Ovis aries: one gene and its partners. The protein of the gene in region 3 interacts with the protein of the main gene of each other region in a pairwise test. Links are inferred from orthologs where the notes say so. Each region holds a gene or a part of one and is shown on either strand. Other genes may lie near its edges.

Evidence for each region.
Region 1: the proteins of AP4B1 (region 3) and ZNF576 interact in binary tests that used the Homo sapiens proteins (3 or more experiments, as listed by UniProt). The two-hybrid records come from large-scale screens. The link is inferred for Ovis aries from reciprocal best matches to the Homo sapiens genes AP4B1 and ZNF576.
Region 2: the proteins of AP4B1 (region 3) and TEPSIN interact in binary tests that used the Homo sapiens proteins (3 or more experiments, as listed by UniProt). The link is inferred for Ovis aries from reciprocal best matches to the Homo sapiens genes AP4B1 and TEPSIN.

Annotation. Positions count from the first base shown.
Region 1 is NC_056067.1:51,632,515-51,636,537, reverse strand, and holds the start of ZNF576 (zinc finger protein 576), read right to left. Parts: upstream 2,860-4,023; 5' UTR 2,459-2,859; coding exon 2,430-2,458; exon of another isoform or gene 2,070-2,429; coding exon 1,969-2,069; intron 1,124-1,968; exon of another isoform or gene 1,063-1,123; intron 582-1,062; exon of another isoform or gene 377-581; intron 371-376; coding exon 1-370. Other genes in the region: IRGQ (immunity-related GTPase family Q protein), read left to right, coding at 3,043-3,052, 3,509-4,023. UniProt on the Homo sapiens protein: May be involved in transcriptional regulation.
Region 2 is NC_056064.1:50,976,724-50,980,956, reverse strand, and holds the start of TEPSIN (AP-4 complex accessory subunit tepsin), read right to left. Parts: upstream 2,832-4,233; 5' UTR 2,804-2,831; coding exon 2,756-2,803; intron 1,041-2,755; coding exon 968-1,040; intron 613-967; coding exon 521-612; intron 350-520; coding exon 256-349; intron 1-255. Other genes in the region: NDUFAF8 (NADH dehydrogenase [ubiquinone] 1 alpha subcomplex assembly factor 8), read left to right, coding at 3,164-3,247, 3,410-3,520, 3,634-3,764. UniProt on the Homo sapiens protein: Associates with the adapter-like complex 4 (AP-4) and may therefore play a role in vesicular trafficking of proteins at the trans-Golgi network.
Region 3 is NC_056054.1:91,209,015-91,212,573, forward strand, and holds part of AP4B1 (AP-4 complex subunit beta-1), read right to left. Parts: intron 2,568-3,559; coding exon 2,464-2,567; intron 1,700-2,463; coding exon 1,492-1,699; intron 1,072-1,491; coding exon 790-1,071; intron 545-789; coding exon 117-544; 3' UTR 1-116.

The DNA of each region.
Region 1 (4,023 bases), on a different chromosome or scaffold from region 3:
AAGTCCTGACCACACTCTGTGCAGGCAAAGGGGCCAGGAAGGGGATGGGCCTCGTGTGCCTGGCGATGCCGCCTCAGAGAAGCAGCCTGCCCGAAGGTCTTGCCACAGTCGGGACAGGGGAAGGTGGGTGGTGTGGTGATGGGTGCAGCCGGCTGGGAGGCCCTGGCCACTGGACCGTGGCCGCGCTGGTGGGTGATCAGGGCCTTGGAGGAGGGGAAGGATCGGGCGCAGGTGAAGCAGATGAAGAGGACCCCCTGCAGCTTCTGGGCCACGAAGTCCGCTGGGTGCTCCCGCTTCATGTGGCGCTCCTGGAACTTGGAATCGGCGAAGGTGATGAGGCAGCGGGTGCACTCCAGGGCCCCCAGGTGGCCTGAGGACATGGGGGAGAGGTTGGGAGAGGCCAGCAGGTGTGGCGAGGGCCTCTCCCAGCCCCAGAATCATGCCGACAACCAGCATGCAGGACTTGACGTGCTCTGTGCCAGGTGCTGTGCCAGGCCTGGACGGGAGACTTACTGGACCTATTTTGTGAATGAGCAGACCAGGGCTGCAAAAGCTGAGGCAACTTGCTGACTGTCATGAGGCTGGGAAGTGAAATGGTGGAGTTAGAACTGGAACCCAGGCAGTCTGCCCTTCTGACAGAGCTGTATGATTAGGGCACAGCCTCTGGAGCCAGACTGCCTGGAACTGATTTCCCCTGGCAAGGGAAAACAGTGTTTTCATCTGGAAAATGGGGTAATCATTGTATTAGTATCCACCTCATATGGTTGTTGGAAGGAATAAATGAATGAACTTATAAATAGTGTTTAGAACGGTGCTACACAATGGTTTGCAATAATTATTGTTGAGAAAGAAGAAACCCCACAGCCAGGGGCTGGCCTGGCACAGCTAGGCCTTGGCATTCTCCTGGTGAGCATAAACAATTCCACAGAACGCTGTCAAACAAGGCCGTGCTGTGACTGGGGCAAATCAAGACCACACCATGGTGCTGTTCTGAACACAGACAAAACGTGAACATTGTCTGGGCCATGAGAAATGGCCAGACAGCCCCCTGTCCTGGCTTACGTGAGTGCCTGCTGCTGCTTGGCCAGTCAGAGCTGGAGCGTTCCCTTGTTCCTCCCTCCTCCTAGGTCAGATTTATTAAGTGAGCAGCCATCTAAGAGCCCTTGCTTCCTGGCAACCTCTATCCAGAGCAAAACCCCTTTCTTGAACCCTTCCCCAGTGGTAGGGAAGTCCTTTCTTATGAGATGCCCCACAGTGTGTGTACTTCCTCAGCACAATGAGCAATAAGCCTGATTTGCTCAACTCCACGTGTGTTCCTGGTGGTCTCCGGCTAGAAAGCACTAACACTAGCTTTCACTGTTATAAACACATAACCTCTCTTTGCCTCAGTTCCCTCACTTCATATGACAGTGATAATTATCAATTTCATAGAGTCTGTTAGGAGGACAGACTGAGACAAGTGTTAAAATCTTAGAATGCATCTAACACGTAATTAGCATTCAGTAGAAGCTGTTGCTGTTCTATGTCAAATTGGCTATCTTCATTAATATTAAGCTTTCTCCTTTTCTGCAGCTAATCCTCATACCAGCCAGCCCTGTGAGGTGAGGAGTGGCCACCCCTTTTGACAGGGAAACTGAGGTCCAAGGCGCACTGTAAGTCCAGGGCAGGGTTGGGACTGGGGCTCACTGCCCTTCCCAATCATTTCTCCCACCCCAAGCCTCTCTGGATGCCACTCTTTGCCTCTGAAGTGCATCCCTTTCATATTTATGTGGACAGAGCAGGGAGCTCTGCTCCTTGTTACCTCTGAGGGTAACAAGGGTCGGGGTCCTGAGAGGGCAGCTCATGGACCATTAACAGCTCCTTCCTAACGAGTAAGTCCCCACAATGCTTTGAACACTGAGATGCTATAGAAGTCCTTTTAGCATCACAGCTCCTGCAACCCACCCTCCTCTGGTCAGCAGTACTCACAGAGGTCACCTCTCGGACTTCGGGAACTTCTCTCCTCGGACGAATCCTGCTGCTCCATGGTCTGCTTGGAGTGCCGGTCCTCCATGGTGACTGGGACCCCTCTGGTCAAGAGAGGAGCATGCATGGCAGAATAGTAAATCAAGTGAAGTCGCTTATCTATAGCCAAATTTAGAGGGCCCCCTAATCCTGTGATCTTTGACAAGCTTACTTTGCCCGTCTTTGACTTCCATGAGATAACATCTCTTTGAATTCTAACCTAACAGCTCTCAGTAGAGAATTCAACCTTCCAAAAGATTCAGCTCCTCAGCTCTGTGACTTCTCTTAGCGCCTTCTCACTTGAGTGACCTATGCCTGCTACATCAAACCAATTCCCTGAACACAGAGCTAGGGACCCCTGATCTTTGGACACCAGCCTCATCCCCTTCTCTTCCACCTGTCTTGAGGCAGGTAGTGGTACCCACGCTTTAGCCCGCCTCCTCCCGAGAGACATCTTTCTCTGACATCCCGAAACTCTGAGACCCCGCTTCCCACGCGCGCTTTCAGCCGTTGTGACCCGCTGCCCCCAAGCACTGCCCTCGGCTCCCTCCCGAGGCCAGTAGCCTAGGTTTCTGCTTTTCTCCAAGACAGCAGAGGGGCTGCCTTTCGTTGCGCCTGTCAGTTGCTCGTCACAGCGCCGTCACCCGAAGGGAAACGGGGTAGGGCCCACCGAGTCTCAAAGTCCCGAGGCTTTCCACGGCCTTTCGCCTGATGAGCCTTTCGAAGCCCGGATCTTGGATTGCCATCCGACTGCAATGATGCAGTCCCACCAATTCGGTCCTCAATATAACGCGAGGGGTCCTTCCCTGCACTGGGGTGCGTAATGATGACGTTGTACGCAACTCTCGCCTGACCGACCGGTGCTTACTGCGCAAGCGTGTTAGGCGCTTCTGGCGCGCACGCGCTTTGGCTCCCTCATTGTTCTAGGACCTGCGACCGCTGAGAGCGGGCGAGCGCCCATCCGTCGTTCTGCGCAAGCGCCGCACAGCGCTGTCTTCCCGAGGTTACGCTTTCAAGACACACCTCCTCCTAAAGGGAATGACGTCAGGTTAGAACCCCTGGAAAGCGTCTGGACGTCCCCGAATCCCGGCGCTCTAACCTCTTAGGCCTCCGTCCCCCGACCCCAGAGCGGGGGCTTCTTAGGGGCAGACCACCTGCTACCAACTGCGCCGTCCCTTGTGCTGGTTGTTTGCTCGGTTGGTGATTTGGAAGGGAGGAGTGAGGGGTTAAAAACATCTGTATCCCAGAGGGTGTTGGGAGCTGGAGGCCAATTTCTGAGTTTTTGAAGCGGAAAAGGAAAGCCATCCAGAAGGAGGGCGGACGGGACTCCCGGGTCCCTGGGGAATAGAGGCTGGGCGCCAGATTTCTGGCTGCCTGGGAGTGGTACCCGAGAACGAAAGAAAGGGACAGAATAGTTGGCTGAAATGTGAGACCGGAGTAGGGAGGCTAGAAAATAAGGTTGGGTGCTCCGTGACCCAGGTCTTCCTCTCTCCTTGCTTCCCAGCTATGCCTCCGCCGCGAGGTGACGTGACCGTCTTATTCCTGGGGCCTCCGGGCTCCGGAAAATCTGCGCTGATCGCAGCGCTGTGCGACAGAGATGTGGAGACGGTCGAGATCCCCGACGGACGGCCGGATTCCGGGCTCCCCAGCCTGCGAGCTGCAGGCCCAGGCCTTTTCCTGGGCGAGCTGAGCTGCCCACCCGCAGAGCCGGGACCCTGGGCGGCGGAGGCCAACGTGCTGGTACTGGTGCTGCCAAGCCCCGAGAGCAATGAGGAGCCCTTGGCCCCGGCCCTGGGGGAGGCAGCACGGGCCGCCCTGGCCCGAGGGACCCCGCTGCTGGCTGTGCGGAATCTCCGACCCGAGGAGTCACAGAATGAAGCCCAGGCCCGGGATCAGACCGCGGCCCTGCTGGACAGCGCCGGGTTGGGCGCCGCGGCTCTCTTCGTTCCACGGACCGACTGCCTCAGCACCGACGGCTGCGAGGAGCTGGAGCGCCTGCGAGCGGCGCTGCGGAGCCAG
Region 2 (4,233 bases), on a different chromosome or scaffold from region 3:
GGTCCAGGCCGCAAAGGCCCAGCAGAGCTCACGGACAGACACCAGCCATTCCACGCAATGTGCTGGCCTGGCCTGGTGGGGAGGAGGGGAGGAGCTGACACAGAGGGAAGGGAAGGGAGGAAGTGGCAGTGAAGGACAGTGTGGACGGAGCACGGGTATGAGACAGGGAGGCAGGGGCTCGGGTTAAGGGTTCTGGCCGAGACCTGCCCTGGCCACCTTCCTCCCACGCCTCCTGTAGGCAGTGCTGGCCCATACCTGCGGCTTCCTGGATGAAGGCAGGGTTGCGCTTCAGGATGAGCAGAAAGGAAGAGGAGCCATGACCACACAGGTGCAGCAGGATCTTCAGCACCTGGGGCAGCAGGGATGGGGGGGTGGGCAGAGCTGGGTCCACAGAAGGGTGCCCCACCCGACACAGCCCCCCATGCCCCCAGCTCATCCCTCCCCTCCAGCCTCACCACCAGGGGCAGGACAGGGCCCTGACTTAACCCCCGGGCAGGCATCTGGAGCCACTCGGACTCACCTTGAGCTTCACGCGGCCAGAGCCGCTGTGCAGACGGTTCAGCAGGTACTCCAGGAGACACTGGCTGCTGCCCAGGGATTCGTGGGAGATCTCTGGGAGGCACTCAGTTAGGGAAGGGGAGAGCTAACCCTGGGCCACACAATGCCCTGGCCAGGGAGAGAAGCTGGGCCTTCCTGCCATCGAACTCCTCAGTGTGGCCCCCTCTACCACAGGCACCCACCCCAGGCACCCACCCCAGGCACCCACCCCAGGCCCTGGTTTCAGGAACACCCGGCTTCCAGGGCCTCCTAAGCCTCAAGTCATCAGTAAGGTGACTTTCAGAGCCCACACACCTAGCTGCTATGGGAAAGGAGCCAGGGCCCCCTTGGGATAGGAGAAGCCCGGGACCTTGGGAGATGGGGTAGGAGAGGCTACAGGGGCCCCAGAGGTATCCACAAGGAAGGATACTGGCAATCTCCTCAAACAGGTAGCCCGGACACGGGACATCATCATCCGACGTTCCCTTCAGGAGAATCGGGAGCTGAAAGGGAGCGAGAGCCCAGCCCACAGTGAGTGGCCACAGGAGCCCTCATTCTTGGGGATCCCAGTTTCAAAAGCTTATAGTTGGCGTGACACAGGGTCAGGGGACCCAAAGAGAAGAGCAACGGTCCCACTGGCCACAGGGAGCCTGCAGAAGCCTCCCTTCTGGAGGCGGGGATGAACGCCTGGGAAGAGGAAATGGGTGGTGGTCTCCATGGTGACAGGCCCTAAAGGTCACGATTCAGCAGGGCCCCCCAGGCCCTTACACCTACAGCCACACAACTTAAAAGTGCCTTTAGTATACCAACTTACAGACTGGCAAAAAAAAAAATACTCCTCAGGTGAACCCCTGTGACACAATCATTCACCCTGACAGACCTACAGCGCCACTTTCAGGAAGGGATCCCACAGAAACAACTCAAAACAAGAACAACCGACTCAGCTGTGTGTCTCACGCTTATGTGTCAGCACAAAGGTGTTTACACTGAGTTGACTCAGCACAAAGATGTACAATTTCTAGGGATAAAAACCAGAAACACCCATTCCACCTCATGGCACATCTGGAGGATATGAGCCTAGTGTAGACAGGACAAGAAACCTCAGGTGCAGTTTCTGAGGTGCTGGCCACAGACACAGTTGGCCTGAATGTTGCAAGAGGCTGTTCACGCTATTTGTCCACCAAGACCCAGAGGGAAGCTGGAAAGGTCTGCAGGACCATAGCATGTTCGGCACATAGCGAAACCTCTGCTCAAAGAGAACTGACCTGTCTTTCAGCAGCATGAGGGTGAACCCGTCACCCCCCTCACCCCTGCCGCCTGCCTGTGGAAGCTCACAGTGCCAGAATTCACTGTTCATTCTGGCCTATTTCTGGTGACAGACTCCAGACCTTTTCTTGACCCTGGACTTTTGGACTGGTTCAGGCTCACTTCAGGAGCATTTTCTACAATTGGGAACCCAGACCTCCTACAACTTAGGAGAGTCTTTCTCAAGGACCTGAAGGCCACTCCTTGAAATGTAACCACCAGGAGGGACAGGGTCTGTCCCCCAGTTCCTACCGCACGATGGGATCTTAGCTTCTGTAACCACCAGTTATCAGCACAGCAGCCGTATCCCACCGAAACCGCCCAAACGCCTGCCATTTTTCACTTGAACTCCACCCTTCTGTCCTGTCCTGAAAACGCCCAGTCCTCTCCGCACAATTTGAACTGGAATTCAGGGCTTCCCCCACTGCCTGGACCACTTAATAAAAGGTTTTCTGCCGCTCTTCGAATCAGCGTCTGGTTATCTCGGCCAGAGTTCGGGGGATCACTGTTTCTTTTTCTGTAAAGCTACTTTAAGCTGGGTAAGAAAACAGAAAAACTTGGGATTTTGTTCAAGGGGGTCACTCTTCCCCGTGGACCTGACACAGGGATGGCCTGACTTGCCGCCCCCCAAGGCTGTGGGGTCCCCCAGCCTCGGGAGGGGCCGAAGGGTAGGATTTGAGATGAGGAGTGTTCTAGGATGTTGAAGCGGCCGGAAAACAGGGAAAGAGGCGAGAGGAGAGGTGGGAGGGGACGGAGGGGGACGAAGGGGACGCCAAGCCTGCCAGCATCCGGAGGGCACGGGGCGCGGGGATCCCGCGGGGGCAGTGCGCAGCCAGGGAGGCGGTCGGCCTGGGCTGGGGGTGAGGCCAGGAGGCGGCGCGTGGTGGGACCAGGGCCGCCAGCACTCACTCACCCGGTGCAGAAAGCTCAGGCGGTCCCGCAGCGGCGGCGTGGCCGCCATGGTGCCGGCCACCTTCCGGCCCCGCCCCGCTTCCGCCAGGCCCGGGCCCCCGCCAATCAGTGCGTGAGCCTGACCCCGCGGGCCAATTACCCGAGTGAGGAGGGCCTTGCGGCCGACTTCGGGAAACAGTTTGCGCGTGAACCAATACAAAGTCCAAGGACAGCGACCGACAACGAGCCAACTGCAGGGCTCTGGGAGACTGAGAGCGGTTCCGGAGAGGCTAAGGCGAGGGCTAAGCCTGACCAAGTGACAAAGCGCAAGAAAGATTGTGGGCGGAAGTGCCTGCCGGTTAAGCTGTTGGGCGCCGGAAGAGGCCGGACCTAAGATGGCGGCGCCCACAGGTGCCGGGAGGAGCCGCTCATGTCGGGGAACGGAGCTGTGTGGGGTCGCGTGCGAAGCCGCCTCCGCGCCTTTCCCGAGTGTCTAGCTGCCTGTGGGGCCGAGGTGCGGAGTCGTCAGGCGGGGCAGGAAGGGCCGCGCGAGGCGGGGTGCAGGTTGGCGGGGGGCGGCTAGTGGTGACCCGGGAGCGGCGGCGGCGGGGTCCGCCCGGGTAATGAGCGGGCGCGGGGACCGTGGCGACCCTCGCCCATCTCCGTCCGCCCCCAGGCCGCGGCCTACGGCAGGTGCGTGCAGGCGTCCACGGCCCCGGGCGGCTGCTTGAAGAAGGATCTGTGCGCGCAGGAGTTCGAGGCTTTGCGGAGCTGCTTCGCTGCTGCGGTAAGTGAACGCCAGCCTCGCCCGGGGGTGGGACCCTAGGGGGCGGGGACCCACGTTACCTGTTTGGGAAACGGGCTTCCTTTTCTTCTGGGTTCGATGTTGGGCTCCAACAGGTGCTTCACGGGGGCACAGCCCCACACCAGCCGGCGCGACCCCCGCCGCCACGGAGGCTGCCTGTAATGAGGCTAGCACAAGGTTTTGAGCTGGTGCCCAAGATGTCAAGGTCCTGGGTTCCCTCGACTCGGTGGGTCTGGGGTGGGCCACGATGCCCACAGTCAGTTCTGTTCACCAGAGCTGCTTGTGCTGAGTACTGGACCTGGCAGGGGACAGTTGGGTCAGCTCACTAGAATTTAGGGAATCCAAGGAATCTCTATGATCCAGGATGGAGAATGCATGGGCCATACTTCATTTCCCAGAGGGCTCAAAGAACCCCTTGCACCTTCCTAGCAATCATTGTGGCTGGGATATGCGGCTCGCCCTTGTCACCAATCTCCAATATGACATGTTTCATCCAAGATGCACGTGTCGCTTGGACTTGCTTCCTGGCTCTTGGCAGCTTCCTTGCTTTACTCAGAGCACTCCCTCCGGGAAGTACAAACCTTCATCCTGTGGTCAGTGGTTGGAAGGATTCACATGTAAAATAAAGATCACACACTCCTGGCCAAACCAGGCTTTTCCCTACCGCCTGTGGTTATTAGTCAGGATCACAGGTA
Region 3 (3,559 bases):
CCAGATTCCCCTTCTCCTTTGCATTTGATATTATCTGGACTTACAAGCAGTGATAATAAGAAAACTAAGGAACTCTGACAGCTATTCACCTCACTATGGACAGACAAGAAGCCATGTTATGATTTTATGTCTCCAATCGTTCCGATCACAGTTTCTAAAACAGAAATAAAACTCTTCAGTGTCTCTGTCCTCGCCTCGCTTTGTTTCACTGAGATCTGCATTTGCAAGTTCGCAGGCTCCAGCAGCAGTTCTGTTAGGAACAGACAGCCAGTGTCGTCCTGAGCACTGAGGTAGGCTTTCCATGGCTGAGTCCCAGCCCGGCTCATCGCGATGGTCTGGATGTTCACGACTTGCAGCGCCATCTGCAGGGTGTCAGGATGGACTGCTCCCTGCCACGGGAACACCTGCTGATGAGCAACTTTGAGGCTCAGCCAAGTTTTCTCAAAACACTCAGCAGTAAGCTGGTGATTGGGGATGAGCATGAGGGCTCCAGAATCAGGGAGTTCCTGAACCCTCTCCTTGTTCTCTTCGGGAATCAGGGATCCTACAAGAGTCAGAAAGCTTATTTAAGAGACGCTCTCAGTCTGCTGAAACTACATTTTAAAATCTAGATTTCTGAAAGTACACAATGTGATTTTTATCTTTGGAGAAATGGCTTAAATAACCAATGGCAAATTTTCTTGTTCACAAAGACAAAATTCAAGCAACAATCTGAAGTTTAGCTGGGGTACTTTACTCTCTACCATAAAGATTTTTCATGACAAGATAGAAAATAAGGTTGATTTTTACCTGATGTGGGAAAGGCTGCAGTGTTAGGAAGCTCTGGGCCATGATGTTCTACTCCCTGGCATTTAGCTATGGTTGCCCAGCGGGCTTTGCCATATACTGGCACCAGAGTGTTGAAGTCCAAGGCCCAGCTGTTCACAGGTCTTTCTGCCTGATCCTCCAAAAGTCTGAGGGAAGGGTCAGATTCAGGGCTACACAGGATCTGCTTTGCTTCACTGATGCCAGCTAAGAGGAGGCGGTAATAGAAGAGACCTCGGTCTCGTACTGCCATGTCCTTTTCTTCCTCTGAGGAAAGATAACAGGTTGAGTTAATTAAAAATAAAAACATTCTTTCTATCCCTGTGCCCACCAGAATAGGAGGGAGGAAACCCTAGAAAATGTTGACATTTTCTCCTTGGGTCCCAGACACAGCTCATCAAACAATGAAAGCTGTGAGAACCTCTATGACCGACGTGAAAGTGTTAGTCGTTCAGTTGTGTCTGACTCCTTGTGATCACATGGACTGTAGTTAACGAGGCTCCTCTGTCCATGGAATTCTCCAGGCAAGAATACTGAGTGAGTTGCCATTCCCTTCTCTGGGGGATCTTTCCAACCCAGGGATCAATCCCGGGTCTCCTGCATTGCAGGCAGGTTCTTTATCATCTGAGCCACCAGGAGGTATACACAACTGGCCACAGCAAGTACCATTTCCTCTGAAGAGCCTACCTATGCAGTAGTGTAACAAGCGGCCTAGCATGTCCTGGCACTCAGCTGGGCGAGAGAGGAAGAGGCGCAGCACAGCTGTGAGCAGCTCCATCTTGACAGCAGGGAACGTCTCTGACTTCACATTCTCTATGAAGTCTTCCAACACATAAGGAGCATTGGGGATTCTCTTCCCATGGACACCGAGTAACCAGATAAGTGCCTGCTTCCCCTAGGGAATTAGGGAGTAAGAACAGATGCTTAACATTTGGCTGTCCAAAACCCAGGCGAGAGCAGACGGCAGACAGCAGCAGGGTTTGCTTTTCCCCTAGAGTTAGCAGAAAAAGTGTATTTTACTTGCTTCAGCTTGCATTTATTGATCTACCCCCTACTAAACTCTCTACAACAAACAGGAACGAAATTCTACACAAAAAAGGAGACTTATGACTCTCACGCCTATGTTGTTTAAGCAATAAAGATTCCTCAGTTTTGGGGCTTTGGCCCCAATTTGGAGTTTCATGCTTCAGTGGAAGTTACTGGAAGATTTCCCTAAGTGACTCCATTAAAGTGGTGATTAACCTAGAGTGCACATCAGAATCGCCTGCAAGGCTTCTTGAAACTGTATGTGTCCAGGGGTTCCCACTTCTGAATAGCTGAGTAGATCTGGGATGAAGCGTAAACACACGTAGAAAGTCCACAAATGACTCTGCTTTTCATGCCAGCTGAAAACCCTATGGTCTAAATCTCTCACTCAAAATAATGAATACGTTACATGAGAATAACGGTTATCAAAATATTTGTGAGGAAACCATAGTTAAATTCTAATGTTTTCATAATTTATATCCTGCCTACACCCCAAAGAGAATCTGAGGTGGCAACTGATTCTAAGAATTCCCACTTCAGACACTGCATAGAAAGAATAATTCGATTCCATTTCACAGAGCAGGTCCCAAGCACTTCCCCTTTATCAGGAAGTAAAGGAGAATCGTAGTCTACCTCGCTGTCTTGAATGTTCTCCTCACAGCCGGGCAGGGCCTGACACACAGCTTCCGTACACTGAGGACACAACCATGCCAGGTCTCGGAAAGTCTGCACCACCACTGCAGCAAGCTCAGGACACAAGAGCACAGGGTTAGAGCCTCCGTGTGGGAAGGAATCTTAAGAAAAGTCACACAGTCAGGCGGCAGGAGCGTCTGCAAAATGGGTGTTGGAGGGGGTGGTCAGTGATCACCTGAGAAAGGTCTGGTACGGGCAACAAGTTCTTAAATGAATGTTGCTCTTCCCTGATTGCCATCAGGATACAAGAATTAATGTATGCAAAGGCACTTGGTAAACTGGAAAGCCATATACAAATGTGGGGGAGTGCTGCTGTTGAATGATGCTCTGAAGTATAAATGGAGACACTAGGGCTGGGGCTACGGTGAAGCCAGCAAGGTGCCAGGTTGTAAAACATAAGAGGACACACAGAGGTAGCACCTGCAGGAACCTGAGACTGAGTGACTCTCTATATACATTACATGTATATATATATATATATATATATATATATATACTCTTTTCTCGTAAGGCTTTTTTTTTAGCTGTGCTGGGTCTTCGTCGCTGTGGGGGCTTTTTTCTAGTTGCGGTAGGTGGGGGCTACCCTCGCGTTGCTGAGCATGGGCTTCTCATTGCTGCGGCTTTTCTTGTCGCAGGGCATAGGCTCTAGGCGCATGGGCTTCAGTAGTTGTGGCGCACCGGCTTAGCTGCCCCACTGCATGTGGGATCTTCTCAGGCCAGGGACTGAACCGGTGTGCCCTGCATGGGCAGGTGGATTCTGAAACACTAGGCCGCCAGGGAAGGCCTCCGTTCTGGCTCATCACAGGACACTGCAGATAGATCCCTGTGCTGTACAGTAGGACCTTGTTGTTTACCCATGCTCTATATAGTAGTGAGCGCCTCTTTAAATGTCTGTATTCTTGGCACCTTGTTTGTGTCATTCTAGTCCCAGGTCTGGCAGCCACTGCTTACAGTTGCTGTTGTGAAGCAAAAAGAGGGACAAAGGTGGGGAAATGACAAGCAAGGTCATCCTAGCACCCTTCATTAGCTAAACAAC